Linked DNA regions of Schizosaccharomyces pombe. The protein of the gene in region 3 binds, or shares a complex with, the protein of the main gene of each other region. Each region holds a gene or a part of one and is shown on either strand. Other genes may lie near its edges. The genes, in order: mrpl17, mrpl10, mrpl25 and rml2.

Evidence for each region.
Region 1: mrpl25 (region 3) and mrpl17 share a complex: the UniProt entries of both Schizosaccharomyces pombe proteins name them as parts of the mitochondrial large ribosomal subunit.
Region 2: mrpl25 (region 3) and mrpl10 share a complex: the UniProt entries of both Schizosaccharomyces pombe proteins name them as parts of the mitochondrial large ribosomal subunit.
Region 4: mrpl25 (region 3) and rml2 share a complex: the UniProt entries of both Schizosaccharomyces pombe proteins name them as parts of the mitochondrial large ribosomal subunit.

What each region holds. Positions count from the first base shown.
Region 1 is NC_003421.2:2,121,338-2,129,573, forward strand, and holds mrpl17 (mitochondrial 54S ribosomal protein mL46), read right to left. Parts: upstream 4,409-8,236; 5' UTR 4,324-4,408; coding exon 4,206-4,323; exon of another isoform or gene 4,112-4,205; coding exon 3,678-4,111; intron 3,530-3,677; coding exon 3,431-3,529; intron 3,364-3,430; coding exon 3,208-3,363; 3' UTR 2,796-3,207; downstream 1-2,795. Other genes in the region: pus1 (tRNA/U2 snRNA pseudouridine synthase Lsp1), read left to right, coding at 1-404, 470-825, 865-1,036; SAGA complex deubiquitinating submodule subunit Sgf73, read right to left, coding at 1,414-1,865, 1,937-2,519; twf1 (twinfilin), read left to right, coding at 4,613-4,637, 4,676-4,753, 4,817-5,184, 5,293-5,421, 5,477-5,612, 5,653-5,771, 5,814-5,945; ubiquitin-protein ligase E3 Asr1, read right to left, coding at 6,397-8,112. UniProt on the Schizosaccharomyces pombe protein: Component of the mitochondrial ribosome (mitoribosome), a dedicated translation machinery responsible for the synthesis of mitochondrial genome-encoded proteins, including at least some of the essential transmembrane subunits of the mitochondrial respiratory chain.
Region 2 is NC_003423.3:1,818,213-1,826,250, reverse strand, and holds mrpl10 (mitochondrial 54S ribosomal protein uL15m), read right to left. Parts: upstream 3,349-8,038; 5' UTR 3,316-3,348; coding exon 2,551-3,315; 3' UTR 2,294-2,550; downstream 1-2,293. Other genes in the region: Nop52 family nucleolar protein, read right to left, coding at 754-967, 1,150-1,438, 1,495-1,602, 1,647-1,689; U6 snRNP-associated protein Lsm3, read left to right, coding at 3,578-3,595, 3,637-3,729, 3,800-3,817, 3,872-3,986, 4,088-4,125; translation elongation factor EF-Tu Tuf1, read left to right, coding at 4,842-4,976, 5,028-6,212; zf-FYVE type zinc finger protein and glutamine sensor Pib2, read right to left, coding at 7,093-7,974. UniProt on the Schizosaccharomyces pombe protein: Component of the mitochondrial ribosome (mitoribosome), a dedicated translation machinery responsible for the synthesis of mitochondrial genome-encoded proteins, including at least some of the essential transmembrane subunits of the mitochondrial respiratory chain.
Region 3 is NC_003424.3:4,992,155-4,999,724, reverse strand, and holds mrpl25 (mitochondrial 54S ribosomal protein mL59), read left to right. Parts: upstream 1-5,217; 5' UTR 5,218-5,280; coding exon 5,281-5,679; intron 5,680-5,790; coding exon 5,791-5,829; 3' UTR 5,830-6,101; downstream 6,102-7,570. Other genes in the region: rga9 (RhoGAP family GTPase-activator protein), read right to left, coding at 1-17, 53-451, 492-518, 571-657, 708-948, 991-1,737, 1,790-1,950, 2,006-2,108; meiotic recombination protein Rec24, read left to right, coding at 2,554-2,821, 2,962-3,695; lipin, phosphatidate phosphatase Ned1, read right to left, coding at 6,391-7,570. UniProt on the Schizosaccharomyces pombe protein: Component of the mitochondrial ribosome (mitoribosome), a dedicated translation machinery responsible for the synthesis of mitochondrial genome-encoded proteins, including at least some of the essential transmembrane subunits of the mitochondrial respiratory chain.
Region 4 is NC_003421.2:694,315-702,500, reverse strand, and holds rml2 (mitochondrial 54S ribosomal protein uL2m), read right to left. Parts: upstream 6,590-8,186; 5' UTR 6,580-6,589; coding exon 6,418-6,579; exon of another isoform or gene 6,394-6,417; intron 6,345-6,393; coding exon 5,418-6,344; 3' UTR 5,019-5,417; downstream 1-5,018. Other genes in the region: TATA-binding protein-associated factor TAF6, read left to right, coding at 820-951, 1,110-2,336; protein mug123, read right to left, coding at 2,756-3,463; RNA cap binding protein cbc3, read left to right, coding at 4,102-4,321, 4,374-4,626, 4,749-4,896; transcription factor TFIIIC subunit Sfc4, read left to right, coding at 7,656-8,186. UniProt on the Schizosaccharomyces pombe protein: Component of the mitochondrial ribosome (mitoribosome), a dedicated translation machinery responsible for the synthesis of mitochondrial genome-encoded proteins, including at least some of the essential transmembrane subunits of the mitochondrial respiratory chain.

The DNA.
Region 1 (8,236 bases), on a different chromosome or scaffold from region 3:
GCCTTTATGAACAGGATCCTGAAGGCTTCGTAAATCCATATTCTAAAAGGGGAGCTGCTGCTCTTGCTAATTCGGAAAATAATAAGGGCTCTGAAGCAGGAGTTTCCGCTAAAACTAATCCAGATATGGATTCCGATTCCTCTGCTATTGTAAACGAGTTTTTAAAGCCTGACTCTGTTGAAGACGAATCTGCTGGTTCCAAGATTGATCCCAGTTATCGTCTCGAACGTGCACTTAAGCACATTGAAGTACTTAAATTAAAAAATTACCGTATTTCCGCAGATAGGCTGTCCGTTATTCGAGAAACTTTAAACCAATATGTTGGAGTTCATAACTTTCACAATTTTACTGTGGGGCAAGCATTTCATCAGAAGAATAGTAATCGCGTGATCCGTTCTTTTACTGTAAGTAAGAATTATCTTCTTTGTATTTATAGTATTCTTGACAAGTCTTGTTTCTAACATTCTAGGCATCTGATCCATTCATGATTGGCGATACAGAATGGATTTCATGTAAAGTTCATGGTCAATCTTTTATGTTGCACCAAATTAGAAAGATGATTGCGCTTGCTATTTTAGTTGTACGAACGGGTTGTCCTGTTGAGCGCATACAAGATGCCTTTAAAAAAACAAAAATTAACATACCCAAGGGACCTGGTTTTGGACTTTTATTAGAGTCACCGTTTTTTAAAGGTTATAATGAACATAAAGCTCCAGAGAATAATCGTGATCCTATCGACTTTACAAAGTACGAGCAAAAAATTACTGCTTTTAAGCATGCTCATATTTATGATAAAATTTTTCTCGAAGAAGCTCGTAAACAAGTGTAAGTATATTTTTTTCTTAAATTAACTAACCGGTTTAGATTTCATTGTTTTTTGTCTTTTATTGACAGTTATAATGAAGAAGATTTCAGTTATTTATCAGATATAGGCATTACTGAAAAGACGCAAGAGGTTTCCTCAAAATTGCCTGATGTTCTTTCTAGCGATGAAGAAGAAGATTCGGCTGAAAACAAGGATGATTTAGAGGGCTAAAGGATTGATTGTGAGACTGAGGATTTGCAACAAACTGATACCATAAACTTTGCTGTTTCTTTTAAAAAATTAGACTACAAACGTGTACATATATTTTTGGAGAATACTTGTTTCTTTCTTTTTTTTAGAATTGATTATTGGTTTTGGGTTCTATTGGTATTTTTATAGTTTATTAACTTCTACTTGATTATTCCAAATGTTAAGACCGTATGGTGCAATATACAAAATAAAAAATGAAAAAATTAATGAAATAGAAACTAGATGAACGGAGGAGAAAATTAAAAAGTCGAAAATGCGTGGTCAAGTAGACCAAAATGTAAACTATAATCTCATAAAGAATTTAAATCATCAACCGAAGCAAAATCAAAAGAATTTCTTTATAGTGGTTGGCGGGCACTAAAAGGAATCACTCGTCCCAATATAGTACCAGTAACTTGCATACCCTGCTCACCATGTCGAAATGCAGCAGCTATTAACTCTCTAGTACGAAAATACGAATGGCGACGTTTTACGGGTAAAAAAACTTTTTGCTCCAAAGGCTGATTGCCAGATTTCTGGAGAACATTCATAATGAAACTGACTTCTTCATCAGAATCAACAGGCGCTTGATGCTGATTATCTTCGGATTCTTTTGCAGTTTCGAGGATTTGTCGTTGTATTTTTACTTGGTTTTTCTTTTGACAAGCTGCAAGCAAAACATCGTATGGCTGAGATCTTCCCGGAACGGCTCGTTTGCTTGACATTGAATGCGTTTTACATGTGAGAGATCTGGCGCACATTTGCCCATTAGGAAGCAAAACACCGCATTGCTTTTCAACATCCACAGGACCTTAATTGAATGTTAGTATTAAAGTAAACAGGTACTCCATTCTCCATATTGAACAGCATAAACCAACATACCTTTGACCTTTGGATTCTTCTTCTTGCTAGCCTCTTTCTTGGGAAGGGCGGATTTTGTAGGCTTTTTGTTTTCTTCTGTCTTCCGACGTTTTGGAGGCATTTCAGGATTCTTTTGACCATTAACTGAATTCTTTTCATGATTCCCAGCTGAGCCCTTAGCTGTCGATTTAACACCATTTTTGATGGGTGCATTATTGCCATTGTTGACATCTTTGTTTAAAACCTGAGAATTCGCAACAGGCTCAAATTGAGGCTTAGGAGGTTTAATTCCATTGCATGAGCTATGATGGTCCTCAATATACTCTGATAGGAAGGGTCGGTCGCATTTTGTGCATACAACATAATCGAGTTCTGAATTGTTAGGATATGACCCATACTGAGGAAAGGAATCAGCAGGTAGTAAAATTTGAGTTTGATTCGTAATGTTAGAAGTTATTTCATCCTTTACCTGTGATTCTGTATTATCAACTCTTTGATCAGCGAGTACATCTTTGGGTAACCCATCCGGGTATTTCAACAAAACTTGCTCATTTCTTTCCCAATTTTCTGGAAATAACTCCAAAGTCTGTTGTTCTGTTAACATTTTATTGATAAGAACCGAGTTTATAAACAGAATTCTACAAAGTTGCCCTTTGTCAATTCCTTTGTAGTGGGACTAAATCTGTAAGTCAAGTGTATGTACGGTTTAATGCTTCCAGAAAGCAAAGTCTATAATTGCATTCTAATGAACTTTCAAAGGATTATGCTGACACATATCATTTCTGATAATTACTAAATTATACAGACATTGTCTTTAAGGGCTAGACTATGACTGACAAAAGAATTTTTGATCTTGGAATTGAGGACAAACTACGGATATCAATTTTGATTAACAATTCTATTTTTTTAGGTCCCTTGAGCTAAACATAGTTTATTATTAAGGTGCGCGCTTTTCCCGTTTTCTCGTACACTGCCAAGAATCCACAGATCATGAGGGTGAGTAATCATGAAATCCGGACTCCAAAAGTAGGCGGCTGAAAATAAAATACTGGCAGAATCATTTGCAAATAAAAAGATAGAATAAATAAGGAGAAATACTTAGTGAAATTCCAAAATTATTTGTTTTTTTTTACATCGTACCAAAACATCAAAAATTAAGGAGAGAAAAAAATAGAAAACGTGAAAATTAAGCTGAAAAATGCAGTAAGATTGTAGAAAGATTGAATTTCCAAGATGAAATGTTCCGCTGTTTATTTTCCGTAGATTTTACATATTGTTTGCTCAATTGAAGATTACAAACGATCGGAAAGTATGTTTTTTACAGAATCCCATGAAGAAGGAGAAAGTTTGTTTTTCAGTTCATCGTACGTACACCAAACCCAGTCATAAACGTTTTGCAGGTTAGGTACATCTAATCCATTTAATAAACGAGCACGTAACAAGAAGGTCTAGAAATAACTGGTTAAACAAAAAATCAACCCAGATAAAATGAGAACAAAAAATCCGTAGTCTTACCTTTTCTTGTTCCGTTTTTAGTAATGCTAATGGATGACGTGCAACTAGCCAAGTCAACGAATTTTCGTCTAATATATTTTTTAAAAGATCTTGACATAACTACAGTTTGTTAGAAAGGCCAATCTGCAGACTATGTAAACAAAAATTGCAAGAGTATTTGATAAATTATTTAGCATCAAATCAATAGTAAGTAGTCTCTTGCACTATATTGTGTATCTTGGAATCGAATTTTAAAAAATGTACTTACCAGATGCAGCGCCTTCTCGGAGCTTGTAACAGGAGTGTTAGGAAATTGCCAACCCGAGCTTTTAGATTTTTTTACCAACAAGTAAAGGGACTTGTCAAGCGAGCGAAGAGTGCTTCGCTCATCGTTTTTCGTATCAGCTTCTGTGACTCTGGATTGCAAGTGAGTTGCAGAATCCAATAATTTGTTAGACTCCATCTCTTTCCTTTCCTTTCCAAATATCGTCTCAAAGGGTGATTCTTTACCTTTTAGTGTTTTTTGTCGTTCTTGCCAATCTTTTTCACCCACCGATCCCTTCTTGAAATAAAATTCTGCAGGTAAAGGATCACTCAGCTCATTCCAAAGTTCCGCATTATATTTATATATAGATTTTTCGAATTCGGATGGTTGGCGAGTAAGAATTGGCGATCTAATTAAAATTGTACCCACTGAACAACCTAAGATATGTTAGCAATCATGTACATCAAAGGTAATTTTTTTATTTATATTTAATATCCCTAGATAATTCATTTTCATTTTTTAATTCTGTACCTTTTAGAGGAGTCGAGTTAGACAAGGGTTTAGAGGATTGAATGGAATTTCGTACAGAAATGTGAAATTGACGCGAAAAAGACCTCTGCATATTTATAATATTTCTCTTCAAGTACATTGTTTAAACTTAGTCAATTTACGCCAAGTAAATCTCCAAATTTCGGCTTTGTTTACTAATCCGGTAAAGACCACTTGGTAAAGGCAATCGACGTTTCGCTATGGCTAGCACTACCACCTGTTTTACCAGCGTACATTACACGCTTCGTTAAGTACTGTAATATTTCTTAGAGACTCTGTTGCTATCGTTAATATGTTTTAATAGATTTCTTTGGATTTCGTTATAATTCAATTTAACTCACTTAGAATGGGGAATTGCTGACGCAGTAAACCTTTCAATCCCCATAACAATGTCTGCTTCCGTCGAATTAAAACGTAAGAAATTTGGCTAAATTCTTCTAACGTGTGGATAGCTACAGAGAAGTTCAGTAAATTTCTCGAGGAGTACTCTTCGGTACCGGTTCGCGCCGCCATTATTAGCATTTCTAATGGTAAGTTTCCATTCGGGCTAGAAGAGTAAATTTTAAGTTAGTTGAAGTTACTAAATGATTTAGAGAATTCATTTGACGTGAAAACAATGGTTGAAAAATCAGAATCGATAGAATCTGATTTTAAGAAAGTCCGTGAATGTTTGCTCGGATCTGAAGAACCTGCATTTGTCCTCGTTTATGATGATAGCAAGAAAAATCTATTACAATTAATTTCCTATGTCCCTGAAAATGCGAATGTTCGCAGGAAGATGTTATATGCCTCTAGTCGTGCTGCATTTGTAAGATGCGTAACTCTTGCTAAACTCGACGAGTCTTATTTCGCAAGTACTCCGGAAGAGTTAGATTATCAGCAAATTATGAAGAGCTTAAGCAAGCAAGAGGACCAAAGTCCTTTACGACAAGATGAACTCGAAAGGAAAGAGTACAATGAGGTAGGTAAACTGTATTGGGGTGGATGGATTTTTCATACTTCTTTACCGTGGCTCGTAGAATTTATAGCTTCTACTCTTTTATTTGCATCTATTTTAACAACTATGTAGTCTATGCAATCCTCAGTAACTCATAAGCGTCCTTTGGTGACCCGTGGTGTTGCTATGTCGATTGATGATAAAGCCTTAAAGGCTCTTTCTGATTTAAAATCATCTACAGAAAACAATCTTGTTATTTTGGTAAGGAAGCTATGATACTTTTGCTATGTATGGTGTTGCTAACCTCCTTTAAAAGTCTATTGACAAAGAAGTCATAAGTTTAAGTCAAGAAAAGCAAAATATACCTCCTTCTGATGTGAAATCCTTCTTTTCTTCCACCGAACCTAATTTCGCTTTCTATTCCCTGCCAAAAGACGGCTCTTCAAAAATTTGTAAGTACAGATGCAGGATCATTTTATTAACAAGGTCTAGTGTTTATATACATTTGTCCAATGCAAGCAACTGTCAAACATCGAATGGTTTATTCTTCTTCCAAACTTGGTCTTTTGGATAGTATTAAAGCAGAATTGGGTATTGTTATTGATGGCAAGGTATGTTTATCCCTCGTAGTAGATTTTATGCTCACATGACAGATTGAATCGAATGATGCCGCTGATATAACTGAAAAGGAAATTCTTCATGCTGCTGGGATATCAAGTCCTCAAGCAGAAACAAGCACCACCAAAACTGGTTTTTCGAGACCTCGACCCCCTAGAAGACGTTAAGCAAGTATATACAATTTTTTGCGGTTTCAAATTTACAGACTTTTTAGTTTATCAATCTTTTTCATGACATTTCAAATTCGAATTAAAACAAAATATACTACCAACGCCTATATTGAGCACACGTTGCATGCTATATTAACGGTCTCACTTTGCAATGCAAAATGTTATACTTCAATAAATAGAATAAGACAATCACTAGATCTATACATTGTTTCCTCTTTTCTAAAAGCGAAATCCTTAAAGACTCCATTCTTGACGAGTGTTAATCTTGCAAACATATATTGTTCAAACATTAAAGAAACACTATCCTTCATTAACAAAATAAATACTCTTTTGGAAATTGTAATTGACCTCAAAAGTTACTTTCTGATTTCCAAAAGATTAGATATGATATAATATTAAAAGCATATGCACCAAACCATAACTCCTATCATAAATACATAACTCATAATCAGTCATTTGAAAGAGACTGTATACAGTTAACAACCTTTTCCCGTATTGTCTTGCTTATTTTATGTTGCTGAGGTCCTTCAAGCGACAGAGTACCATCCGATAACGCAGTGTATACAGATCGACAGATATTCTTATTGAATAGAGCAAATTGATCTTTAGATATTTTTGCTTCTCGATAATAAGGCTTCAGAGCTGCGTTAACTAGCCGTTCTATTCGATACTTCGTTTCATAAGAGACTTTTTTGCTGGAATGCACCAAATCATGTCGGCCCGAAGTGCGTCGTTGATGCATACTCGTATCATTAACTAAATGATTATCCACAATTTCTCCTGGTTCCGAAAGTTCAATCAAATGGTCATCCAAATTATCATTACTGATTTCCCTAGGTGATAGCGGTACGTGAGATGGTCGAGGAGAGAGATTTGAGAAAAGAGGAGTCAAGTGAACGTCTGAAGTTCCATCCGAAGCTTCAGAGTGAGAATTCTTAATCTCATGTTGTAAACTTAACATAAAGGAAGTATCTATTCGTGAGGTGCTTGGCTGGTTGATGTTGCTAATTAAACTAGCGAGAAAAGAATTCTCTGATTTAGATGATGAATTATTGCCTAATACTGTAGAAGATCCTGAGGATTTATTAGAACAAGGAATGTGCCGACGAGTAGGTCGCTTTTGCCTCCTGTCGTGACTCGTGGAATTTGGGTCATTCACAAATCGAGTATCTTGTTGATGATGTTCTTCTATAGGCGTTTGCTGAAATCGACCCGACGAAGGTCGTGGGTTACTAATGGTAGCCTCAGTGGCAACGGAGTGGACCGATGAATTCGCATGTAGAATTTCATCAAAATCATTCCATGCTTGCTGCTCAGAAGCATTCGTTACTGGTGTCTGCACTACTCGTGGCTGCTCAACTGGCTCATTGAGCTGGTTGGAACGTAGACGTGCACTCTCAATACGACGTCGCAAAAGTTCAGACGAGACGTCACGAGCAGGCAGTCGTTCTTGTTGCATACCATAATATGAGAGATCTGAATTCAATGCATCCCAAGCTCGATTTCTAATGGCATTCCAAGCACGTGTCCATGCACGCTGCTGTTGTTGAGAAACTCGCGAGGCACGAGCAGCTGCTCCTACCCTTCTGCGTCTTGTCTGGCCTCTTCGAGAAAGAGAAATACGTGAAGAGAGTGTTTCATTTTCTTGATAGTTTAACAATACACAATTAGGGCAATAGAACTCTTCTATAGGTACTGCATCCATGTTTAAGCAATATGTATGATATGCATCATCACACCCATCGCACAACAAAAGCACCTCAGCATGATCAGAGCGGCCACATATGACACAGCGACAGGTTTCGGAACCTTCGTCTTCAAACGGCTCGCCAGCATTGGCAACGCTTTGGGTTTTCTCCTCCACAGGGTATGCACGATACCAGGGTCCCTTCACGAATTCAAGTACGTCAACTTTAAGAAACTCCGTTCTACATAGAGGACATGTATTTGCAACTCTGCACCATGATTCCAAGCAGTGGTTGTGAAAATAATGTCCACAAGGAATTTTCGCAATTCGAAGACCATCCAAGGTCGACGAAATCGAAGCGGGAACACTACTGGAATCCCATTGATCTAAGGGACAATTTGGTAAATTACTAAGACAGATGATACACTCTTCAGAGCTATCAGAATCTGCCGGCTTTGGATCTTCTTCAGCGTTCATTAATGTGGGGGCCGGAACCACAACGGGGCATTTGGTGGTGGGGGCGTAAAGCAGTAGTTATACAACGAAGGTGATGGTAGAAGGAGAGAAGGAAAACTGGCTCTTTAAGGGGTTCAACATTTTG
Region 2 (8,038 bases), on a different chromosome or scaffold from region 3:
CGTAGTGTAGTATTGCTGACAGTTAAAACGTTTTTACATAGTATGTTTTAATATCTTAAACTCCTACATGGTGTATTTCTAGAGGTTAATTATGATATCGAGGTCTTACTGCAATCTGACTGTTTTACTCACAAAAAGTCTTTAAATTTGAGTAATTATCTTTACTCAACCTTACAGTTGTTGAATGTATTTGTGCGGCCTGATTGTACATGTACTATACAACTATGCATTCGAATGGGAGCAATGTATATGCCAATATTTATTGCTAAGCACGTCGGGTAATTGATTACGAATGTTCATTAGGAATGTTTAAAACACAAGTCAAGCAACAATCAAATATAACGATTCTCATTTGTCTTGTATAAACCTTTTTGACAACATAAATCAATAGTGGCCGTTTGGTCTAGTGGTATGATACCATCTTAGGGTGATGGTGGTCGTGGGTTCGATTCCCACAACAGCCCATGTTTTTACACTTTTTTACAACTTGATGTAAATATCGATTACTTATATCTTTTCACCTCTTAAGAGTTATAAAAATATAAGCACATATCTACTCTACATGAAGACGATCTGGATATTCTTAAGAAAGAAAAGAAACAGCATTACTACGAAACTTTTGTTGTAGGGGTACGGAAATGAAAAGTTCAATCATATGAATAATTAATGTCTATTACAAACCACAAGTTGTATATTACCACCAATATATTTTTTTAGTTCACCAAAACCTAATAAACGTGCCGAATCAATTAATTATTGTGAATCCTTTGTATATTCAGAAACCCGATCAAGACGTTTGGGAAGCGTCTTTCTTAAGACAACATTATGACTTGACTTGATTGTAGAATCAAAAGGAAGATACCAGTCCGCTTTTGGTACATCTTCTGGGTAGACTTTTCTTAATTCCTCAGTCCATATATCAGCTAAATGGAATAAAATCCCATTTGGAAAAGCAAGATTTTCGGTACTAAAAGCAGTTAGTAGTCTGTCCAAATAAACAGAAAAATGATAAAAATTAAGAAATAGCTATTCAACAAGTTTGATGTAAGCAGGAAGTAAAAGCGTTGCAAAACTTTTCTAAAAGTCTCCAACGCAAAAGCAATCTATATAATAAACAAATTCCCACACGCGGGAACGAAAACAACTTACTTAAAAGGACCATCCATCCACATCTGATTATATTCAGCCACTACTTTGTCCAGCAAAGCAGTTTTACTTCTTGTTTGAATATCCCGAAACGCAGCAGCACAAAATCTACGCATTAACAAGTAAAATTTGTCTGTTCGTAAAATATCAATTCCCGTCCATTCACGACCCATAGTTTCCCAAAAAGTAGATTGAAATAATATTCTATTGTCTATCCAGACAATTGGAACCAACGCGGCTAAATTATCTGAGAGTTTCTGTTGGTATAAGGGTTTATCAGCCATCCACATGCCTGCATATTAAAAAACAATTAGATGATTTACATTCATAACCCAAAAAAATTCATACAGTAAAATAAGCCCTTCCAAAGCTTGAGAAAGTCTAACCTTTCAAATTTTTTCTTTTGGCTTAAAAACCGCTGCAACGATTCAAGAGCCTTATCACGAGTTTTTCGATCTTACAGTGTTAGTACATTAATCATTTATATGTAAGAAATTTACCATTAGCTGCAAGTTTCTTAATAAACGGCGACGGAGCCGACATTGTTGGTTTATTGACAAAGTGTTGAAGCAGTTCTTAGCATCGTTCCTTCCATACTGCGTTTTAGTGCACTAATTGGAGAGTTGATAAATGTCCCTTTCTAATATATGAAATAAGGAGTTTCCCAGTCAATATGTATTATTTTTTTTAGAATTGACCGTTTATGTAGATTAATTGATCATAAGGTTAATGTACTACTATGGTTCGCTTACACTTCTATTACAAATGCCGGTTTTCTTAGTCATTCTTATATATAAGTCTTTAACCGTTCCATTGATCAACAAATGTTCTTTTTCTTCTTCCTTGCATGCCTTTGAAAAGGAGATCCTTTGAAAGATCTTTTCCTGTTGGATAGACAATCGGAGGATGAAAAAATTTTAAGAAAGCTTTAAACAAAAAAAGGCAAAAGATAATAATTTAACAAACAGTCGGCAGGGGTTCTTGATTATACAAAAAAAGTGCATGACTGCGAATGCTCAAATCTACTAATGAAGCAAATGAATAAATGTGAGAAAGGGTTTATCTGACAGAGAATGAACTGACTACAACAAGGGGATTTGGGGGATAAAGAAGGAAGCTATATTTTCGAATGAGAAAGGTATTCAAAATATTACTAATGGGTATTGAACTGTAAGCGAAAAAGTCAGTAGAGAGCTCAAACACCGAAATTGGAAACGTAATTATACAAATGTACTAAGAAAAGGATGCAGATATTTCCTTACAAAACTCAACATGTAACCCATCCAAGAAAGTAAAGGAGGCTGCACGGAATCATCAATAGACATAACAAAGTTTTAAGGACATATTAGGAAAGCGGGATTTTTGATGAACATATATCAAGTTCTGATGTAATATGGGAACTACTTATTTATCTTTAACAATCGGTTCGTAGGGGAATCGTTGGTCGCCATAATATAGCTCTCGAATATTTTTAACGTTGGCAAGATACCCTGCAAAATGTGGATTTGTGTAGTAGCGTATGTCTTTCTTTGAAACTGGAAGGGGAGGGCGAGGAGGTGTACGAAAACTTGAAGGATGCAAATGGGCACGTAGCGCCAACGGGCTGAAATATACTGTTGTTATACTGCCGCCTGCATTTTTGATTTGTTGTATAGCTTGAACTGTAGCCTTAGAAACTTCTATGGAAATTGCTGTTTTAAGGAGTCCAGGTTCGTCAGCAGTAAGTTCAACTCCATGTTTAATACCTCTACAGCATCTACTATCGAGGAGGTCTTTCATAGTAATTGTCTTGCTAGCATCCAATCTACCACGATCAATCCATTCCTGAACTCTCCCTAACCCCAGACGCAACGGTTTCTTCAAATGTCCCGTACTGTGACCAACTTTAGGAAATAATTTGGTGATAGGAGTTTGACCACCTTCAAAACCAGGTTTAATTCTCCGTCCACGCCTTTGACCAGATCCTTTATGACCACGTCCAGAGGTTTTTCCTAAACCGCTCGCAGGGCCTCTACCCACTCGCTTCTTTGACTGATAATTTGCACTGTTGTTTAAATCATTCAACATACTGATGCCGCGGAAACTAGCACCAAATCTTGGATAACCAGAGGATCTCAAAAAACCATGAAATGAAGAACTGCGACAAACCCGAGATAAAATATTAAACATTTTCCAATTCAAAAAACGGGTTTCGTCGAGTTTAGATGGTAATAAGTCCAAGGCTGCTGTTTACTATTACAAAAGATTCGGACACACACGAATACGTAAAATTCTATAGCGTCTCATAAAAATATCTTTATTACTATATTCAGCATCGCTGCACTGCGCAATTCGAATTTGTTTCCTCCTTTATTTCTTCCTGACATATGCCAGTGCATAATTGCAGCAACAGCGATCTTGCTTGGTAGATATAATAACCCTTTACTTTATAATGGAATCGGCACAGGCAGTAAGATTTATCAACAGTAACTCGGTAACTAATGTTTGTAGGTCGCGGAACCTCTTGATTTGGTGAGGCTTTCTTTGGATGAAATCGTTTATGTAAAATTACGGGGAGATAGAGAATTAAATGGCCGTCTTCATGTATGAAATTTTTTTAACGTTTCTTGAATATTTTTCTTATTCTGAATTGGTTATACTAACTCGATTGTAGGCCTATGATGAACATTTGGTATGAATCATATTCATAACTCGCATTTGGATGGATTACTTACACGTATTTTAGAATATGGTACTAGGAGATGCTGAAGAAATTGTAACTATTTTTGATGATGAAGAGACCGATAAGGACAAGGCCTTAAAAACGATTCGCAAACATTATGAGATGCTCTTTGTTCGTGGTACGTAGATTCTAAATATTACGCTCGAAAAGTTTGACCATGATTAAGCTTTCCTTTTCGAAACTGTTTTTCCTTTTTCGCCAAATGCTAATGAACTTTAGGTGATTCGGTTATTTTGATTGCTCCACCTCGTAATTAAAGGAACGAATAAAATTACTATACAAAGCTATCTACATATTTTTATCTCATTCTTTTGTTTAAAATTTTTCGCTTTAGAGGTGCTTCTTCGTACAATAGTAACGACTTTTGATTTGAGTATTCTATATTACAGAAAAGTTTGATTTTCCTTTATTCCGTTGGATGGATAGTTTTATCTTTCTTTAGTCACGCACCACTTCTTGTTATTCCTTACATCCTTTTACTTAATAAAAGCAAAAGACTCTTCGAAGTTAACCAACATTCACGAGACGCTGAGCTTTGTCATTGAGACTTTTCATTAATGGTTTTATTCTTTGTACTTGACAGGATAGTAAGCGATTTTTGCTTGCATGGTGGTTGCTCTTGCGATCTAGCAAAATCAGATTGACATTCCTTTAGAGATCAGAGACATAATACCATTCATTGTGCAAATAAAAAAAAACTATCAATTGCTTTCGATTTGGCGGTGTTGTTCACTAGTTCATCTAGTATTTTTTTATTATTAACAAGCGTATCATCATATATAGGCGTAGCGGTAAAATAGAACAAAATAAAATAAATTCTACAAATATTGATTGTATCCAAACACCCAGGACCATTTATTTCATGAAATGCTCGTGTCAATAGTATTCTCATAACGATGCGCACCGCTGAGACTTATTTCAAGGACAACACGAGCGCCAGAGACCTCTCCTCTGCCTACACGCTCCCTTCGTTATGAATTCAGCTAAAGCTACCTCTCTCCTCTTTCAAGGCTTTAGAAAAAATTGCTTGCGATTGAACCGCATTTCTTTCGCTTCAGGTTTGATTAACCGGTTCACCGTCCCAGCTCGAACTTATGCTGACGAAAAGGTATTTTTTTTTCATTCTTCATCTTTTTGATTACTTGTTAACTTTTTTAAGGTGTTCGTTAGAAAAAAGCCGCATGTCAATATTGGTACTATTGGTCATGTTGACCACGGTAAAACGACGTTGACGGCTGCTATTACTAAATGCCTTTCTGATCTTGGTCAAGCTAGTTTTATGGATTATAGTCAAATTGACAAGGCCCCCGAGGAAAAGGCACGTGGTATTACCATTTCATCTGCCCATGTTGAATACGAAACTGCTAATCGTCACTATGCCCATGTGGATTGTCCTGGTCACGCCGATTACATTAAGAATATGATTACTGGTGCTGCTACAATGGATGGCGCTATCATTGTTGTTTCTGCTACCGATGGTCAAATGCCTCAAACTCGTGAACATTTGCTTCTGGCTCGTCAAGTCGGTGTAAAGCAAATTGTTGTATACATCAATAAAGTCGATATGGTCGAGCCTGATATGATCGAGCTTGTCGAAATGGAAATGCGTGAGCTACTCTCCGAATACGGATTTGATGGTGACAATACTCCAATTGTTAGCGGCAGTGCTTTATGTGCCTTAGAGGGTCGTGAGCCTGAGATTGGTCTCAATAGTATTACTAAATTGATGGAAGCTGTTGATAGTTATATTACTCTTCCTGAAAGAAAAACGGATGTCCCTTTCTTGATGGCCATCGAGGACGTTTTTTCAATTTCAGGTCGCGGAACTGTAGTCACTGGCCGTGTCGAGCGCGGTACTTTAAAGAAGGGTGCTGAAATCGAAATCGTCGGTTATGGTAGCCATTTAAAGACTACCGTTACTGGAATTGAAATGTTCAAAAAGCAGCTTGATGCCGCCGTTGCCGGTGACAATTGTGGCCTTTTACTTCGTTCTATCAAGCGAGAGCAATTAAAACGTGGAATGATTGTCGCTCAACCAGGAACCGTTGCTCCTCATCAGAAATTCAAGGCATCATTCTATATTTTGACAAAAGAGGAAGGAGGTCGTCGTACCGGTTTCGTTGACAAGTATCGTCCCCAACTGTACAGTCGTACTTCCGACGTTACTGTCGAACTTACCCACCCTGATCCTAACGACTCAGACAAAATGGTTATGCCTGGAGACAATGTCGAGATGATCTGTACGCTTATTCACCCCATTGTCATCGAAAAAGGACAACGCTTCACAGTTCGTGAGGGTGGAAGCACTGTAGGCACAGCTTTGGTTACTGAACTTTTGGATTAGTGCATTTATGAACTTATTGGCTTTAAAAATTTTGCATGCTGAATACCAATATTATGTCCCTTCTCAGAATTCTATAACTACAGTGTCATTATTGTAATAAGACTTTTGCATCCATTGACAATGGTATTTGATACTTTTATAGTTTCTACTATTGTTAGCCAAAGTTATAAAACAAATAATAAAATAACGTTGAATCAATACTTTCACTCCGAATTTTAAGGATGGCTATTCAATTTACTAAACAAGAGCTAAATATAATGTTTTGTAGAACGAACCTATTAACTATATTACTACCGTTTTAAACAAACGCAACGGCGGGTCGAAAGACATAGTGAGACTAAGAGAAAGATATTAAAACTTAAAAGGGGGGAATTTGTAACAATTAAATGTGGGATAATACACAGAAAAATGAAAGGGAATCATAAACCTAGCAGGAAACGATAATTAGTGCTATTTTAACACGGCAAAAATTTTGTAGTATTCAATTGTTAAAAGCAAAAAAATCCTGGACGACCATTACTCACATATTGTAAATACCTTTATGAATTCGGTTTAAGTAAAGCATAGTTGAGAGAACCCGAAAAATCGGAAAGCAAATAGCCAAAAGAGAAAGCTACTAAAGAAAGTAGCCTGGCTCATTAAATTGAGAATGAAAGGAGCCTAAAAAAATAAGGAAAAAAATACCGGTATAAAAAGAAAACAAGAGCCAATAAACAAAATATATGCGCAGCACAAAAAAAAAAGAGAAAGGCCAAAATTATTAAAGATAAACAAGAAAAGCATAAAGCATAAGCGGAAAAGAAAAACATATATCTAAGGGGAAAACAATAGTGAAATTACTTTAAGTAACTCCATGGCGAAAAGATTTGACACAAAAAAATTAAAAGGTACTCCAAACCCAGTTATCTGGAACTGTTCCCAATACCAAACTCTCCGAAGGAAGTTCACCTTTAGAGTCCGTAGAGTCCATTTTTGGGATTGGTACAGATACAGCATTCTTGGGTTGGGATGGAGGATGAGTAGTGGCTTGCTGTGGTGCAATAGTGCTTTCGATTACAGTGATATCGTTAGAAGAAGCCAAATCAATAGACTGTTTCCATTTCAGGTATTCATAAAAGCAAGAGACGCAAGAACGGTATAAAGAGCCAGCAAGACAAAACTTGACATCCATAGTGAGGGGAATGTTACGATCGCAATGAAGAGCGCAGAATATATCTCCACATCGACGACAATGATGCCTTCTATCAAAAAGGCCGAAACGAACTGAGCAGGAGGGAAAAGAACAGACCGAGACATCGGAATCTGGTTTCCAGTGGTCTTTGGAAATTCCGGTCTCTCTGGACGATTGATAATTGAGAGAGGTAGCTACGGAAGAATTGGTAGAGGTAGGACTAACTGAATAAGACATTGCTTGATAAGAGGCAGTGCGAGAACTGGCAGCAAGTTTTGATGAGGCATAAGGTTTACTGAGACGCGGATTGCCAGAGTAAGAGCGGAAGAGTTCGGGACGCTCTTTTCTAGTTATGGAAGAATATAGTTGGGGGTTGGTATGGGAAGGTAAAGAACCTTGATTAGCGGGAGTACTATTGCTAGAAGAGTTAGGGGAGCCAGAAACAGAACCAGTGCCATTGGTAGCTTGTCTGGTAGGAGCTTCGATGAGTTCGTAAGACGGACGCACCCGTTGAGTGTAAGGAGAGGCACCAGAATAAATGTTTAAACGCGACAAAGGACCATGTCCAGACAATTGGTGAACAGTTGTCATGATGAAAAAAAGTAAAAATGCAAGTGACAATTCTCAATTGAAGAGAAGAGAAGAGAGAAAATAA
Region 3 (7,570 bases):
AGGAGGACGGAGTACACCTAGAGGTTAGACAAATATTTGTAAAATGACATACATGGCGAAATTATTTTAGCAAGATGTCGAATTTGACCATCTTTCATGCGAATAGAGATTGCATAGGCAGATAAATGGCGAATTATTTCTTCCAATATATGTAATGGTGTGGAGTGCAGATGGAGAAGACACTTTTTAATTGAATACAGGCGGTGATCGAGGTCTTCAAAGTCTGTATAAGTAGTGTAGATAGCTTTGAAATAATCATAGAAACTTGATCGTATCAACGAATCAGGAAATTCTAAAAGGCATAACCTTAAAGAACAAGTAATTGAAGAAAGTGTATATTTTTCCACACAAGCATTTAAAACAGATTCAACGTTATCTGTCTTTCGTAAAACGCTTTTAAGGTCAAAAGCATCTTTAAGTGGAACTTCGGTAGTCCAAACACAACTTAAAACTAGCAAAAATTAGTATTTTTCAAGTGAATACTTTCTTACCTTCTTCGTCACGTTCATAAGAATAGGCTGATTATATTAGTTAAATTTGAACAAATGATAAAGAAACTATTTAAAATACCGTCTAATAGATAAGCCAATATTTTAGGCACCAACGAAACAATAAGATTATCTTCGGTCAAGCTGGATTTTTGCAGAAACAAGTATTCTGTAGGTTAGATAGGTTAGATATCACAAATTCAATAAATGTGGACTTACCATCTTTAGTAGATAGTTCGTTGTTAGAAACCGGAATAAAATAACCGGTATAATGTTTATTTATTTGAGTTGACATATCGCGCAAAGAATCAAGATTTTTAAACGAATTTAAGTTGTCGATAAAAATCGAATTAAGACTAGGTATAAAATTACCGGAATAGTTGGAACATTCAACCAAAACCGATTTGACAGCATTCAAACGATCAAGCTCAGCTTGTTCTAAATCTTTAAAAACCATAAACTGGAAAGGGTTAGCAAATGAAAGAAGAATAATGCTCAATACCAAATATAACTCTAATTCATGACGGCATTGCTCTAAATTGTCATAAGCAAGGTTGTACTTTTGTAAAACAGGATCATCATTAGTAGCTGTTATAGGATCATTTACTTGAAAATATGGATCGACCTCAAGAATACTCAAATGATAACTTTTCAATAGTTGCTGTGATTTTGTAGTAAATTGAGCATCTATCTCCGGATCATTTTCAAAAACTCGACGAATGCCAAGTAACCTTATTAAGCCATGTTGTATCAGCTGGTTTCCAGCTTTAACGACATAAGAATCTTTTTCCAAACCAAATGTTGTCTTGATGGCTTCAAATAGAAGAGAGCAGTTTGTAACAAGTTCGTAGTCACCGAGATGAGAATAAGATTTTCTTTTAACAGTAGACGCCTTCATAAGCTTTAATAATACATTGGCAAATTCCTCAGCGGTATATGGATGATCAACTATGTTTATCAACCCATCAAACTTATTAACGTTAGAAGGATTAATATCCAGCTGAGACAGAGCAGAAGCAAGAGAATCGGATTTATTAGATTTTCGAGAGGTAGGAATTGGCTTTCGGTCGGTCAAATTAGACTTCTTGCTGTTTACATGAGAGAAACGTGAATTGTAGTTGTTTATTTTGACAATTGCGGCTGAAACGATTTCATCTACCCTTCTAGAATATTTCTTTGACCAATTTGCAAAAGGATTTATTACCAATATATTTAATTGCTCCCCAAGCTTCTTGTGCAACGACGCTTCCTATTGTAAATATTAGCGATAATGACCATAAGAGTAACGATTGAAAGTATACCATTAAATAGCTTTCATAAAGCTGGTGTATGGCTGCATCAGAAGGAAGATCATTGCTTTCTTCATTTAAAGGATGGTGCTTATTGAATTTTGAAAACGATTTGAACAGCAAGTCAGAACAAGATGAAGCTGACTTTGCTCTAATATGTAACAACTGTAATACTAAACGTATTGTTAAATCATTAGTTATTACAAGAAGAAGAATTCATGTGCATACGCTTTTCGTTTTGTTCAACACCTTCGTTGATTAAACGTTGGGCACGATTTATTCCCGTAATATAATCCCTTGACCAGAACGAATTTGAAAAGCCGTCCCACATATCTTTTTGATAAAAATGTCTGATGTACAATACACTTAAGTATATCTATGTACTTCTGTTGAGTGCCAGCTAATTAATAGATTAAAGGTAGTTACAAAAGAGTTCTCTTTTAATCTAAAAACGTTAGTTTAAAAAATATTACAGATAAATCAGTAAATTGACATTGAGGATTAGAATTCTCCTACAACTCCAAATAATCCAAGAAGGACTGAAGGAAAAACTTCTTCAAAAAATCACTTACAAAGAAAGCGGTATTAAATATTATTCACAGTGATTAATATGTAATTTTGGTTTTGTAAAGAGTCATGTAGATGTTGGTATTTAAGTGGGTTCGTCGCGACGAGATGTAAACAAACCAAATTACATAGTGCAGTACAAAGCATCGTAAACTGTAATGAATGGCACAAATACTGAAGACAATAGTAAACAAATACTCATACAGACAATGTACACGTACGATTCGTCGGGAGAGACACTGAAAATAGCAATAGCATGGAAGATAATTTTAAAAAAACCGAAAGGAAAAAATATCAAAGACTACATAGAAGCATTGCGGAAAGGAATTGAGGATCAGGAACATTGCGAAAAATACGCGTCAACATTATTGGAACCGCGCCCAAAGACGAAAAAAGATGTTGTTTTGAAAAATAGTAATGTTACAGAGTGTGTGGCTTTAAAAGCCAAACCGTTCTCTAAAAAAATCGAGGATATGGGTAAGTACTTGCACGATGCTTATTAAATCCATCAATACTAGGCCGGTATATCTTCTTATATCTAAAGCATTAGTTATATTAAAGAAAGCCTTTTTGATCTAAAATAGTATGAATTTTCTTTCGTTAACAATCCAATCTAGATATCTTTTTGCTGACCAATGTTCACGAGAATCTTCAGGAAAAGAGGCAAACATCCGGAAGCCTTGCGCATCTGGATATTGAGTACACGTTTAATGGACTTTTTCGATTCTTAAAATGCACTGCTGACATAAAGTTGAAGCAAACAAAAGTATACGAGGGTGCGGATTTTTTGCGCATTAAAACTTTATTCGAAGAAATTTTTATGTTTCTTAAAAGAGATTGTAAGTCGCCGTTGGTTTTAACAAGACTAGTTGAATTGGGAGATTATGTACTGGATCTCATTATAATCACGCAGTCGATTATGCAAAACAATGCCAACAATGGAACTGGAGTGATTTCCAGAGCGAAATTTTTGGAATTTTACGTATTTTTGGAGCAACTGATATTTAACAAGCTCTCATTCGCTTCCGTAGAGCAATTGGAAAAATTACTAGATCAAATTGTTAAACGGATGAAAATATGCTTCACATATTGCAAAAACGATAACCCATCTATCCGGTTGTTATATAGTGAATGTTTTTTTTCGTACGCTGAGATATACTTCCCTTGTCTACACTCCTTCGATGCTCAGCTTTCATCTGCCGCAAGCAAATGTGTCCAAATCTTAAGAGACATAATCACAAATGAAGAATTACAAACTGATAAACAAGAGTTGTCTAAGAGTGCCTACTCTGCTCCATCCATCCTTTTGATTGGCCTCAAAGATATGCTATTTCCCGAAGACATTTCCTAATAGTAATATATTGAGGGCCACTATTTAACACACATTCATTTCTTGCCTTTCCAATTTGACTCCTTTTGTTATCCTAAAATATTCACAACATTTGGTGGAATTTTTCTGGAAATTCAATGTACAAAGAACGTTGTGGTGAAAGTGTTGATCATCATATCCATTCGATGAACTTTGATATTATGTTCCCTTTTAAATCTTGGGCATAAGGGAAAGGTTTTCTGCTTTTAAAAATTGATGGATAAAAGAAACAAAGGAACAAAAAAAGCGAATATATAGTGGCCAATTTGTATTATTTTCAAGTACAGAAGTGCTTTCCAAATTCGTTTACAAGAAACTTTGGAATTTCAATCAACAAGCTATGTTTCTTCTTTTCCAATAAAGCGCATTTAATACAACGCGTTGACAACAAGATTATTGATCAAGTAAAGGAAATTTATCGCACAAGCCTTCATTCATAATCCGCGATTTGATCTATACGCATTGCTATCCTATTCCTTACGAGGGATAAATCGAAGGAAGTGATAATGGATAAAACCACACAAGCTCCAGAGAATTGAAGGTTTTTCAGCTATAGACCTAACTAGAAGAACAGGGATACTTACAGGGCTTATTAATATTCAACATTAAAGAGCGTCTTATCGATTCCTTGTCAACTTGATATCACCAACAGTTCTATGCACTACTAACTTTATGTCACACTGCGTTACATGTCATTATAAATAATTCCTTTAGTATTTCTTATATTCTCCACTAATTGGAGTCATCGAGAGATGACCGGACTTTTCCTACAATAATTTTTACTTTTATTTATGTTTTAAAATACTCAAAATAAGCATGATTGAGCTTTTTTTGCTTACTCTCAACATGTGTCAGTAGGAATCCGTACATGATCTGATATGATAATTTTACTGGCATCAGAAACTCTATAACCACACACAGCTTACTTGAACGGGCCTCATTTGATGGAATCATAGAAGCAATCACAACTAAAAACGATAATGATTGAAAGCGTTTGAATGCTACGTTGGCGGAACACAATCACACATACTGTCAGCCTTCAATAATTAAATAACGCAACCCAACAAAGATGCCTAAGGTAGAGGGACTAATGCGAGAGGAAGCCATCTACGCAGTATGTAAAATATTTTAAGGAGTTTGTATAGTTGCTAATTTAACAACGATATACATAATAACGAAATATGTTAGTGATTTTTATATTTGTATAAAATAATACCCTGGATAATTTTGTATTTATTAACTATAGTACTGCTACACCGTAATATTATATTAATTAGTATATCCATTGGAACTAAATTGAGTAACTAAGAATTAGTCCGACCTAATAAACGCTAATAGTCAATAAATTGGCTTAGAATTGTCTGAGATAATAAACTCTTTTAATATTTCAAACGATGAAAAGTTTCGATTAAGAACTCAAGAATGAACAGTAATGATTGATTTAACGTAATATAGCGCAGTTAAACGTTTGCCGACATCTTAGGTCAATGTATTTTCTAATACTAATAGTGCTTGACTCACTGTCTTTTTGAGCTTCTCTATAGATTAAAGAGGTTTTAACCTTATCATGCCAGTCTTTACCAAGGAAGCTTTGGAACGGCTTCCTATCCAATTAGGAAACTTTTTTAAAAAGTTTCCGCCTGAAAATCCAAATGCATGGACGACAAATCCAAATCGTCAAAATCCGTTTCTCGCAACTCGAAATCCTCAGAATGGCCTTGTAATCAACCCTTACTATTCCAATAGAAGGCAAGCTGAAATATATAAAGAGGCCAGGCTTCAGAATCTGGATAATTTACTCCCCCAACAAATGTCATGGCAGAAAGATTCTACACGCCATATTTTGAAAGGTCTTCTGAATCCTAAAGGAAAAATTAGTGAACGAAAGAGGGATGAGATTTTGGAAAATAGGCGTTTAAAACTTTCGGAATCATTGAAGAAAACTTCTAAATTTAAAAATGAGCGCGTATGTAAACTGTTGTACTTTCATGATTTTCTTATTTCTATCTACTGATTTTGATTGTGAAAAATTTACTATTATTATTTTTTTAATTGTCTTTATTAACACTCTTTTTAGCAAAAAGCTAGCAAAATAGCGAAACCTTCTCCTTTCTAAATTCTTCTTCTGCAAAGTGGGTTTCACGTAATACTGTTAATACCTTTTGATTCCTGTTTGTTTATGACTTCCTTAAATTTTTTTAAAGATTCATTTAAATTTACTGCTATATTACCTCAATTATGTGTTTACTAAAAGTCTTTTATTGTGCAGCATGATAAAAAGACTAATATACTAGTCTATACATTTTTGTAATCTTTACTAATAATATGATTCTACTTTAATAGTTAAATTACATTTAAATATTAGGTTTTGAATCTGCAGACTTAGGATTTTAGAATGTGATTTATTCGTAACTTTTCATTATGAAGTATCTTGTTATCTTTAATTTTTAGGAAGAGCGCATTTAAATATAAAAAAAATATTTAGCACTTTCTCAAAACTCATTACTTGTGAATGAGTAAGTAAGTCATTATATGATTTATGTAACTTTCTAAGCTTATTAGTGCATTTCAAAGCCGACGGAAATTCGTCAAAGTGATTTTAAGATTTTGGGGCATTAAAAAAAAAGATGGACAGTCGAGTAATTTTTTTTTCATCGGAAATTGGGAAAATGCAACTTCAAACAGCATTTTCAACGTCTTCTTCTCCTTCTTCATCTTCTTCACCTTCAAACATTAATTCATTGAAAGACTTAATCAATGGACTAGGAGAATAATCTTGAGCATCTTCCTCGTCAATCCCCTCGAATTCTTGATATCCGAATTTCGTATTTTTGGGTGTTTTGGGCGACTTGGATGTGCTTTTATTAGTATCGTCTTCTTCTTCATCGCTAAGTTCAAGCAAAGGAGATCTCCAAAAATTCACATCAGTAAAGCTTGAGACTTCATCTCGGGTGCTAACCTCGATGGGAGGGAAGAAATGATCGACAAGCTCATTCATGTAAACATAACTACTTCGGTGACCGCTTCGCTGCAACAGTTCAATATGGACTTCGCCAGCAGAATTAATGGTAAAAATCCTAGTTGGTGGAACTCTGACATGGTTATAAGATATTGCGTCTGTAATACGATTGCCAAAGCCGGCGTAAAATGGTGTTCGAGGAACAGGTAAGGCGAAAATATTACAAAGATCACGCAAACAAGCCATTTTAAATACTTCTGGCTTCCTTAAAATTACTTCTCTATGAAGAGCAGCCATAGTGCGATCAGGTGATAAAATAACAGGACCATCGGGTAGAGAGTATCCGTTCTGTTCAATATTCCGGAGATAATGTCGAGTAGAATCGGCTTGGCCTACCGAACGACTAGTTAAATACATAATTTTGTAGCCGTTGTTAGTGATATCGGTATACAATTTGGCAACTCCAGCATGAGTCCAATCCTTGCCGATCAAGGTAAACATATGCCCTAGAGCATCAGATTTGGTAATTGTTCCATCAATGTCCGATATAACGACAGGATCGTTGTGTTTCCAAAAAAAAAGATTAGCAGTGCAAATGGCCTTACCCCCGTTGACTCCAAAGGAAAGCTCATTTTTACCGGGCTTCAAATTTAATGAACGAAGCTGATCAGAGGTTAAACGAAGGGTTTTAGCATATTGAGGATATGACTCGGAAACTGGGCTCAAAGACTGTTCAGATAAAGAGTGTCGACGGCTTAAATCAGAGTCCTCATCCATTAAAGCCGAATCGGACTTTGGAGACGCAGGAGTGCGAGATGGACTTGCAGGAGGACTGTGTCCATAGACCTCCGCAAACTTTTTGGCATCTTCAGAAGCGTGAAACCACAGATTACCTTCT
Region 4 (8,186 bases), on a different chromosome or scaffold from region 3:
TAGCAATGCGGGGTGACTTGCGGTGCAACTAGATAAGTGTCAACAATTCAAGTTTCTAATTCCTTTTAAGGCTACATTAAATTATATTTAGCTTGTAGAAGCAGTATATTGCGTTATACAGTATTGTGAGTGGTGGGTGATAATATATTTATCATTGTAACAGCTAATAACTGGACTGAGAATGATGCTCTGTTCAATCTAGACTTCTAATTTTAACTACTATTTTATATCAATATCAATGGATGTTTTAGTAAACAAACATATAGTCTTCTGCTATTGTTCAACAAATTGAGATTAATTGGTATTCCATGTAGTGTATTTTGATGCGTAACGTAATGTTTAATAGCGATTTTAGTGTAGCTCACTGTCTTGTAAGCTACGCAGTTTGGTATCTGATTTAAGGATACGTAGAACTGCGGTGAGTTTTCCTTGTGATCTATTATATTACAATACACAGGTTGTATAAGTAGCAACTGAGTATAGGTATTGTATTAACTGGGTTATAATGTTACCTATCACTAATATAGCTCATAACTGAACTGAGGAACGAGGTTCAGCAGTAGCTCTATTTATAGTATTCAGATAATATAGATCTTAATAGATTATCATTAAGATCAATCTCCATATCGTATCATACATGGTACGATATATAATTAGAACATGTGACATATAGTGATACGCAACGTAGTGTATTATAGCGTAGTGTAGTATTGCTGACAAGTATGTTAAATAAAGCAGTTGCTTCTAACATCGTTAACTACTTCTCTGCAGATGCAATTCACTCATTGATCCATAAATCGTTCATCTTACTACCAAGTCATGTCCTTGACAGTATGGAATATTGAATCCATCAAAGATGTTGCTGAAATGCTTGGGATTGGCAATCTTGCCGATGAACCAGCAGCAGCTATTGCAATGGATCTCGAATATAGAATTCATCAGGTGGTTCAGGTAGGTTTCGTGAAAGTAGACTATGAGATTTTACTTTCTTTGGAAGAGGCTAAAATAACTAAAAAATTGTTGCTAGTTTTTTACGATGCCTTTCAATTTGCTAGATAGTCTGCTTTATTCTGACATTAAACATAATTCTCTAACAGTATTTGATTTAGGAAGCCACTAAGTTTATGGTTCATTCTAAAAGAACTGTTTTAACTAGCGCAGATATCTCTTCAGCGTTACGGACGTTGAATGTTGAGCCGTTATACGGCTTCAATAATTCTCGTCCATTAGAATTTCATGAAGCCGCTGTAGGTGCAGGCCAAAATTCCCTTTACTACCTTGATGATGAGGAAGTGGATTTTGAAAAAATCATAAACGCTCCTCTCCCTAAAGTCCCTAGAAACATTTCTTACAGTGCACACTGGCTGGCCATCGAAGGTGTGCAGCCAGCCATTCCTCAAAATCCAACTCCCTCAGATCACACAGTTGGAGAATGGGCATCCAAGGGTACTTCAGGGGTTATGCCAGGTGCTTCAACTGCTGCTAAAGAAGCTCGAAACGGTGTCACTTCGATGGACAACGTTGAGATAAAACCGTTGGTGCGACATGTGCTATCCAAAGAGTTACAGCTTTATTTTGAGCGTATTACCAGTGCATTGCTTGATGAAACTAATGTTGAGCTCCGTGATGCTGCCCTATCGAGTTTACGTGACGACCCCGGATTACACCAACTTTTACCATACTTCATAATGTTTTTATCGGATTCTGTAACTCGAAACTTAGGAAATCTTGTGGTTCTTACTACTTTAATGCACATGGCCTGGGCCCTTCTTGATAACCCCAACCTTTTTGTAGAGCCTTACGTCCAACAACTCATGCCATCCATCCTTACTTGTTTGGTCGCGAAGCGCCTTGGCAGTGATCCTAATAATCACGAGCATTATGCACTAAGAGACTTAGCTGCTTTTTTACTCGGGATTGTTTGTGATCGATTTGGTAATGTGTATTATACATTAAAGCCTCGCGTTACTCGCACGGCACTCAAAGCATTTTTGGATAACACCAAGCCATATTCCACTCATTATGGTGCCATCAAAGGCTTAAAAACTATGGGGAAAGAAGCTATTAGAGTCCTCGTCGTTCCCAATATCAAAGTTTACGAAGTCCTAGTTCGGAAAACCTTGGAAAAAGGAAATGAAGAGGAGATTTACGAGGCCAATAAATGTATGGATGCTTTGTACGACGCTTTGCTATTACTGCGGGATGATCAATTACCAAATCAACGAACTCTTCCGCCAAATGCTAGTGGTCTTCTTGAGAAGAACGTTGGCAGTTTAATGGCTGAAAAGATAATGAAGGAAAACGATACCTCATTGCTTCTTGGTCTGCTAGAATAGTCTTCGTTGGGCATAAAATATTTGTTTTTGAACAATTTAATCTATGAATCTCGGACTTTAAAATATTTACCCAATTTTCCACACTACCTAAACCATTATAGGTTCTATAATTAAAATGTTATTGATATTCATGTTACATTAAAACAGGAAGCACCGAATAGCTTTCAAATGAATAAAAATAGAATGATGATAATATTGATATAGTTTATTTCATGTTTTGATTAAAGATGTGAGACTAGCTGACAATGCCGGGTTTTAAATGAAAGAAATACGTAATAGAACAGAAAGGGGAAGGAATGCTTGATTATGCCAAAGAATGCGAATAAAAGTAAACGAATTAAAGCAATTAAACTAGGTGAGGGAATAGCACCATAATAAATAATAATACTTTATCAGATATCGATGGAAAAATAACTGCACTAATCGCTATCGAATTCATCATTGTCCCCCATATTTGTGATTACTAGACGTTTCATTCCTTCTTCAGCACTGTCCTCGTCTGAAGATTCAGAACTGCTGCTTCGTCGATTGACAAGATAAGATTGAATATCATGAGTAGGTGATCCGCTACGAGATTCAAAGCCGTCTGATTGAGTAGTTTCGGCTCTGGAGTCTGCTCTTGAATGTATTGACATTCCCATAATGGAAGGTGCAGTCCCACTATGGGTTGAGCTGGCACGTGAAGACTCAATCATTGAGATATATGTTGGTGCAGTATTCGATGTCGAAATTACCAATTCGTCCTCATCGTCATCCTTACCTTCGGTAGCAGATAATCGTGGAGTAAGAATGGTGTGCTGAGGAGCCATTGTACGTGAATGAAGCGAAGCAGGACGGGTGTGATAAACACCATGATGCTGGCTAGAAAATACCCTTGAGCGCATGCCTCCTAAGCCTTTGCTGGAAGACTTCCCATTTTGTGATGAACTTTTGATTGATGGGCTAGAGTGTAAAGGAGCCACACGGCCTATATCACTCCAGACAGTCGCCTTTGCACGGCGTAAACTCTGTACGTAAGAAAAAGTAGAACCATTTGACTCATGGTTGCTATTAATGGCATTCGAAGTTGGAAGGGAAGACCTCGAATATGGATCATCATGGCTCGATCGAGTAGCTAAACGTTCCATGCGATTAGTCTTCTGTCTAGTAATGATTATTATCTATTTATTCCTTCTTTGAATAAGTTGCTTGTAGAGTAATTCCAATTAATTTTTAAAAATTTCACAGACAAATGCCGGGATTAGAAAACGAATGGTGTTAAGATAGACAATCTTTTATTTGATTAAGCAATCAGCTAAAACTAATTAAACAAAGCTCATATATCTTTGAAAAGCGCAAGAATTAATGTTTCGTACTGAAAATTGCAAATGTGCGGAAGCTATGTTTACATGTCTCATTCTCGAACATACGGTGTCCCAGAGGTAAATCTTATTAGGTTTTACTGTAATATCCCATAAATTTCTGTAAATAACAATACGCAATTCAATGTGCTTTAGCGTACTGTAGATTCTTACACAAACGAGCCTTACATGCAAAAAGCCGATTTAATCTCCATTTTCCTTCTTAATTTTAAATACAAATTACATTTGACTTCCGATCTTCACTCATTATAGGAGACTGTACCGATTACATTGCCTATAGGGATCTTTCATCTCTCGTTATTCTCGTATAGCAAATTATAGCGCGTCGTAATTTTCTTTGGACGGCACATTCACTCTTTTGGAAACTGCATGTCTGCGAAGCAGTTGTAGAGAAGTAGATTTAAATGGATATCGTTGCAGAGACTCAGATTGAAGAAGAATCATTGATACCCGACGCCACTAGTACTCCATTAGAAACGGAAGTGGTGGCTGATACTACATTGCGTAAAACAGCTTTACATCTAGCTGGCGTCGATAATCTTTCAGAAGAACAAGTCAAAGGATTTATTTCAGCTTATGCTCCTGAATCTCAATGTACAATTGAATGGATTAATGATAACGAATGTAAGAAGCGAAAACTGGCAAAGGGTTAGTCTAACTCTATAACCGCGTATAGGCAACGTTGTTTATGCGGATGATGATGTTTCACGAAATGCTTTATTTCATTTAATTATGGAGTCTCCGACAGAATTTTCAGAGGAATTGGAATATCAAACGAAACCACACCCAACTGTACCGACGTGTCAATTCAAAATACGTTACGCCCGCTACGGAGACAAGAAGGTTAAAAGCGCACATCTTTACTCGAGATATTATCTGTTTCACGGTGATCCTCGAGAAGAAAAGGCTCAGAAGAGCAAATCTAAAAGGTATAACTTGTGAAAACCAAATTAGTCCGGGTGCACTCATACTTTTCAAAAATCATTTCCTCTACTTTTGAGAATCTCCTTTTACTCAATTTTATATTCAAATTACTAACACTTTCGCACAGTAGAAATCAAGATGAAAGGGGTTCGCCATTAGATGAACGACTAGGTCCTAAAGTGTCTGACCTTACACTGATGGAAAGAATATTCCAAGTTCGACGCAAGCCACGCAAATCAAGGAGAGACCGTCGTTCCAGGGTTTCCAAGCGTTAATTGTGTTGTAGAGAAATATTAAATACCCAGTTTATCCGCTTTTAAGTCGCTTTTCGCTGGACGAAGGCAAGAAAAAATTAATATGCTAAATTAGCTACAATTTTATAAATAAAATTTTTTTATTTAGTTGGCCATATTAAAATAAAACCGTTCTTTTCTGCGTTTAATAGAATACTCTTTTGGTACCTGAATGATATCGATAACCCTTTTAAGGTAGATGTAAGCAAACGACAATTTTGAATGGGATAGTCCTTAGCTTTAAGCAACGTTGTGATGAACAAAAATTACCAATACAGATTTAAATTGTAAGAGCTAAACTCTTAAAAAATGCTTAAAATTTTTCGTCGATAAATGACGGTCGACACAAAATAACTATACATAAATGCATCTGGTCCACAAATGGATAGGTAATAGCATCGACTATTAAAATGGAGAAGGGATCATGAAAATTGAAATGCATTACGGTAATGTAAAACATAGAAATGTAAAAGTCATGAAGACAGAGATCATTAATAAAATGATTACCGCTTTTCCTTTCCACGAGGACGATCGCGGACGAGTAATTTATTAACATTTTTACCTCTTCTTGTTTTGTATCCACCTTTAGCCAAAACACCCCAAGGAGATTGAGAAGGTTTATTACCAATGCTTTTACCACCACCACCACCATGTGGATGGTCACATGGATTCATAGCTGTACCTCGAACCGTAGGACGAATGCCAAGCCAACGTGAACGACCGGCTTTACCAAGCTGGCGATGTTGCCAATAAATATTGCTTACAACACCAATGGTAGCAAATGATGTATCCAAAATCTTTCTCTCTTCACCACTTTGTAGACGAACGATAGCATATTTACCATCAAAAGCTATGATACGAGCGCTACTGCCAGCAGAACGACATAGCTTTGCCTTTTGATTTGGATTTACACCAATGGCATGAATGACAGTTCCTATAGGAATTAATCTGAGAGGAAAACAATTTCCTGGCTTCAAATTTTTTGCTGCAAAAGTTCCATCTTCAATTTCAGCAGCTAGGACGGGGTCCATTTCTACTGGCTCGCCATTAGAACCAGTCTTCAAAAGCGATCGAAAGCTCTCAACTGTATCGCCTTCGCGAAGCCCGTCACAAGCCAAAATATAACTTTTGTTGGCTGTTTCGGAATTCAATTTTTCAACAAGGGCAATGTGACCACTTCTACCAGGGTCATACTCAATTCTAATCACTCGATGAACACCCGGTACTTTTCTTTCAAAGTCAACAAGACGAATACGTTGTTTGTGTCCACCACCCTGATGCCTTACAGTAATTCTTCCTGTTTCATTTCTTCCACCTTTTTTTCTTTTTGCAACGGTCAAAGGTCGAAAAGGTTTCCCTTTCCAAAGGTAATCACTAACTGGTCTTTTTAAATGACGAAGACCAGGAGATATAGGTTTGTAAGTTTTAATCTTGATAAGAATTAGTAAAAAATGAATTAAGGCTTGATAAATAAAAAGTAACCCTCGTGTTAATATTACATACCTCGAACTTCGTTTTTGGTCGTAGAAGCATCCCTACATCGTAGGGTCTCTCGGAAGATTCAATTTTTTCACCGCTTGTAGATGCGGTAGAGGCATATCTGAACAGCTTTAACGCATGAATTTGAGGAATCAAATACCCCCGAAATCGATTATAACTCAACATGGGGATTTCCAACTAAACCTATGGTAAGAACTCACAATATGATGGACTGCGAATTAACGAGTTCAATCATAATTTGCGACGCTCAGTGCTAAAATCTTTACACAATCCAAGGTGTCGTTAACTGTGTAAATAAATGAACATTGATCTAGGGAATACAACATAGAGGAAATTGAACACATTAGCTATAATAATGAAGAACTTTGTTTTATTGTTTGATCATCTGTGTAGTAAATATTTTATACATTGTAAACCCGATTCTATACGTTTGAAAGTAATGGCAGGTCAACTGAGAATTTCAACCACGTTATAATATATTGGAAATTTTGATAAATTGAATTTGCTTTTCCTTCGAGTTGAGCAAAGTTAAACTAGAATTTACGACACCTGTAATAAGCCTGCTGAGCATGAAGAGTTTAAGGGATTCAAGGTATCAGGAAAACATTGCTTTCTCACAAAACTCTTCTCACATTCCTTTTTGGATGTGTGCTTAATTAATTACTAAATAAGTTCACATACCAAAAAAATCTTATTTAATATACAGTTTCAACGAAAAGTTTCAACTATGGAAATTTGTTTTGTTAACTCGTTCATTTTCGTTTCAAAACAATTCGAAGATGGGGTTGATCTGCGTTTGTTTAATATAGCTTATTAGTTTGCTTATGAAAGGTTTCGATACTATACTCTGTGTACACTGACAAAGGTCAATCAACATGAAAAGCCTTGAGATGCCATTTTCCAAAAAAAAAAGTGAAAAACACTATTTGATTGACTAGGATCTTCCAAATTCTTACAGATATTAGGTATTTTGACAACATCAAAATTGTCAAGTTTGCAATTCAAAAATGTTGCAAGTAAAATAACTGGTGTCAGGAAAAAAGGACTAATATTTATTGACTTCATATTAATTAGTCAATTGTAGAACAAGATATGTGGTACCCATGACCTCTTTGTTTATTGAGTACTTCTATAATGACTTACTTCAACTTTGCCTTCACCAACGCCAACGCGAAAACAGCCAACTTCAAGTAGGCAAAAGGAACAGACCGATTTGAAAGCATGATTGAGCATCTTAAAGGATGATTCAAAATGGTGGAAATAGCTATGTGGATTCCAATATGAATGAAACGCAAAATGATACAACTGACAACTTTGATGCTGAAATGCAAGATCTAAACGGGTATATAAGCGAAATTGTCGATGAGGCTAGGAATGTATCTGAAGTTGATGCAAAATTTTTGGGAGATACCTCTGCCCTTCAAGCTGAGGGCCTTTGGTCAGACGAAGAGTCAGATTATGAAGGCAGTGACGATGAATCAAACTTTAGTAAAACAGCCTCAAGAACCGAGGACGACATTGCGAACGAGGAATGGGAAGAAAATTTAAAGGCAGTTGCTGGATTTAGAAAAGTCCGTAAAGGTCATAAAGGTCGAGGACGTGTTAGTCGAGCTGATATGCTTCCCTCGGTGGAAGTGCAACAAATGTTGAGTTTAGCGAATCATTTGTTTGCGCAAGAAGGAAACTTCGACGAAGCCCAAAAATTAGCTGAAGAGATTGTTCGTATTGATAATAATGTCATTGCGGCTTGGAAAATGCTTGGTGAATGTCAT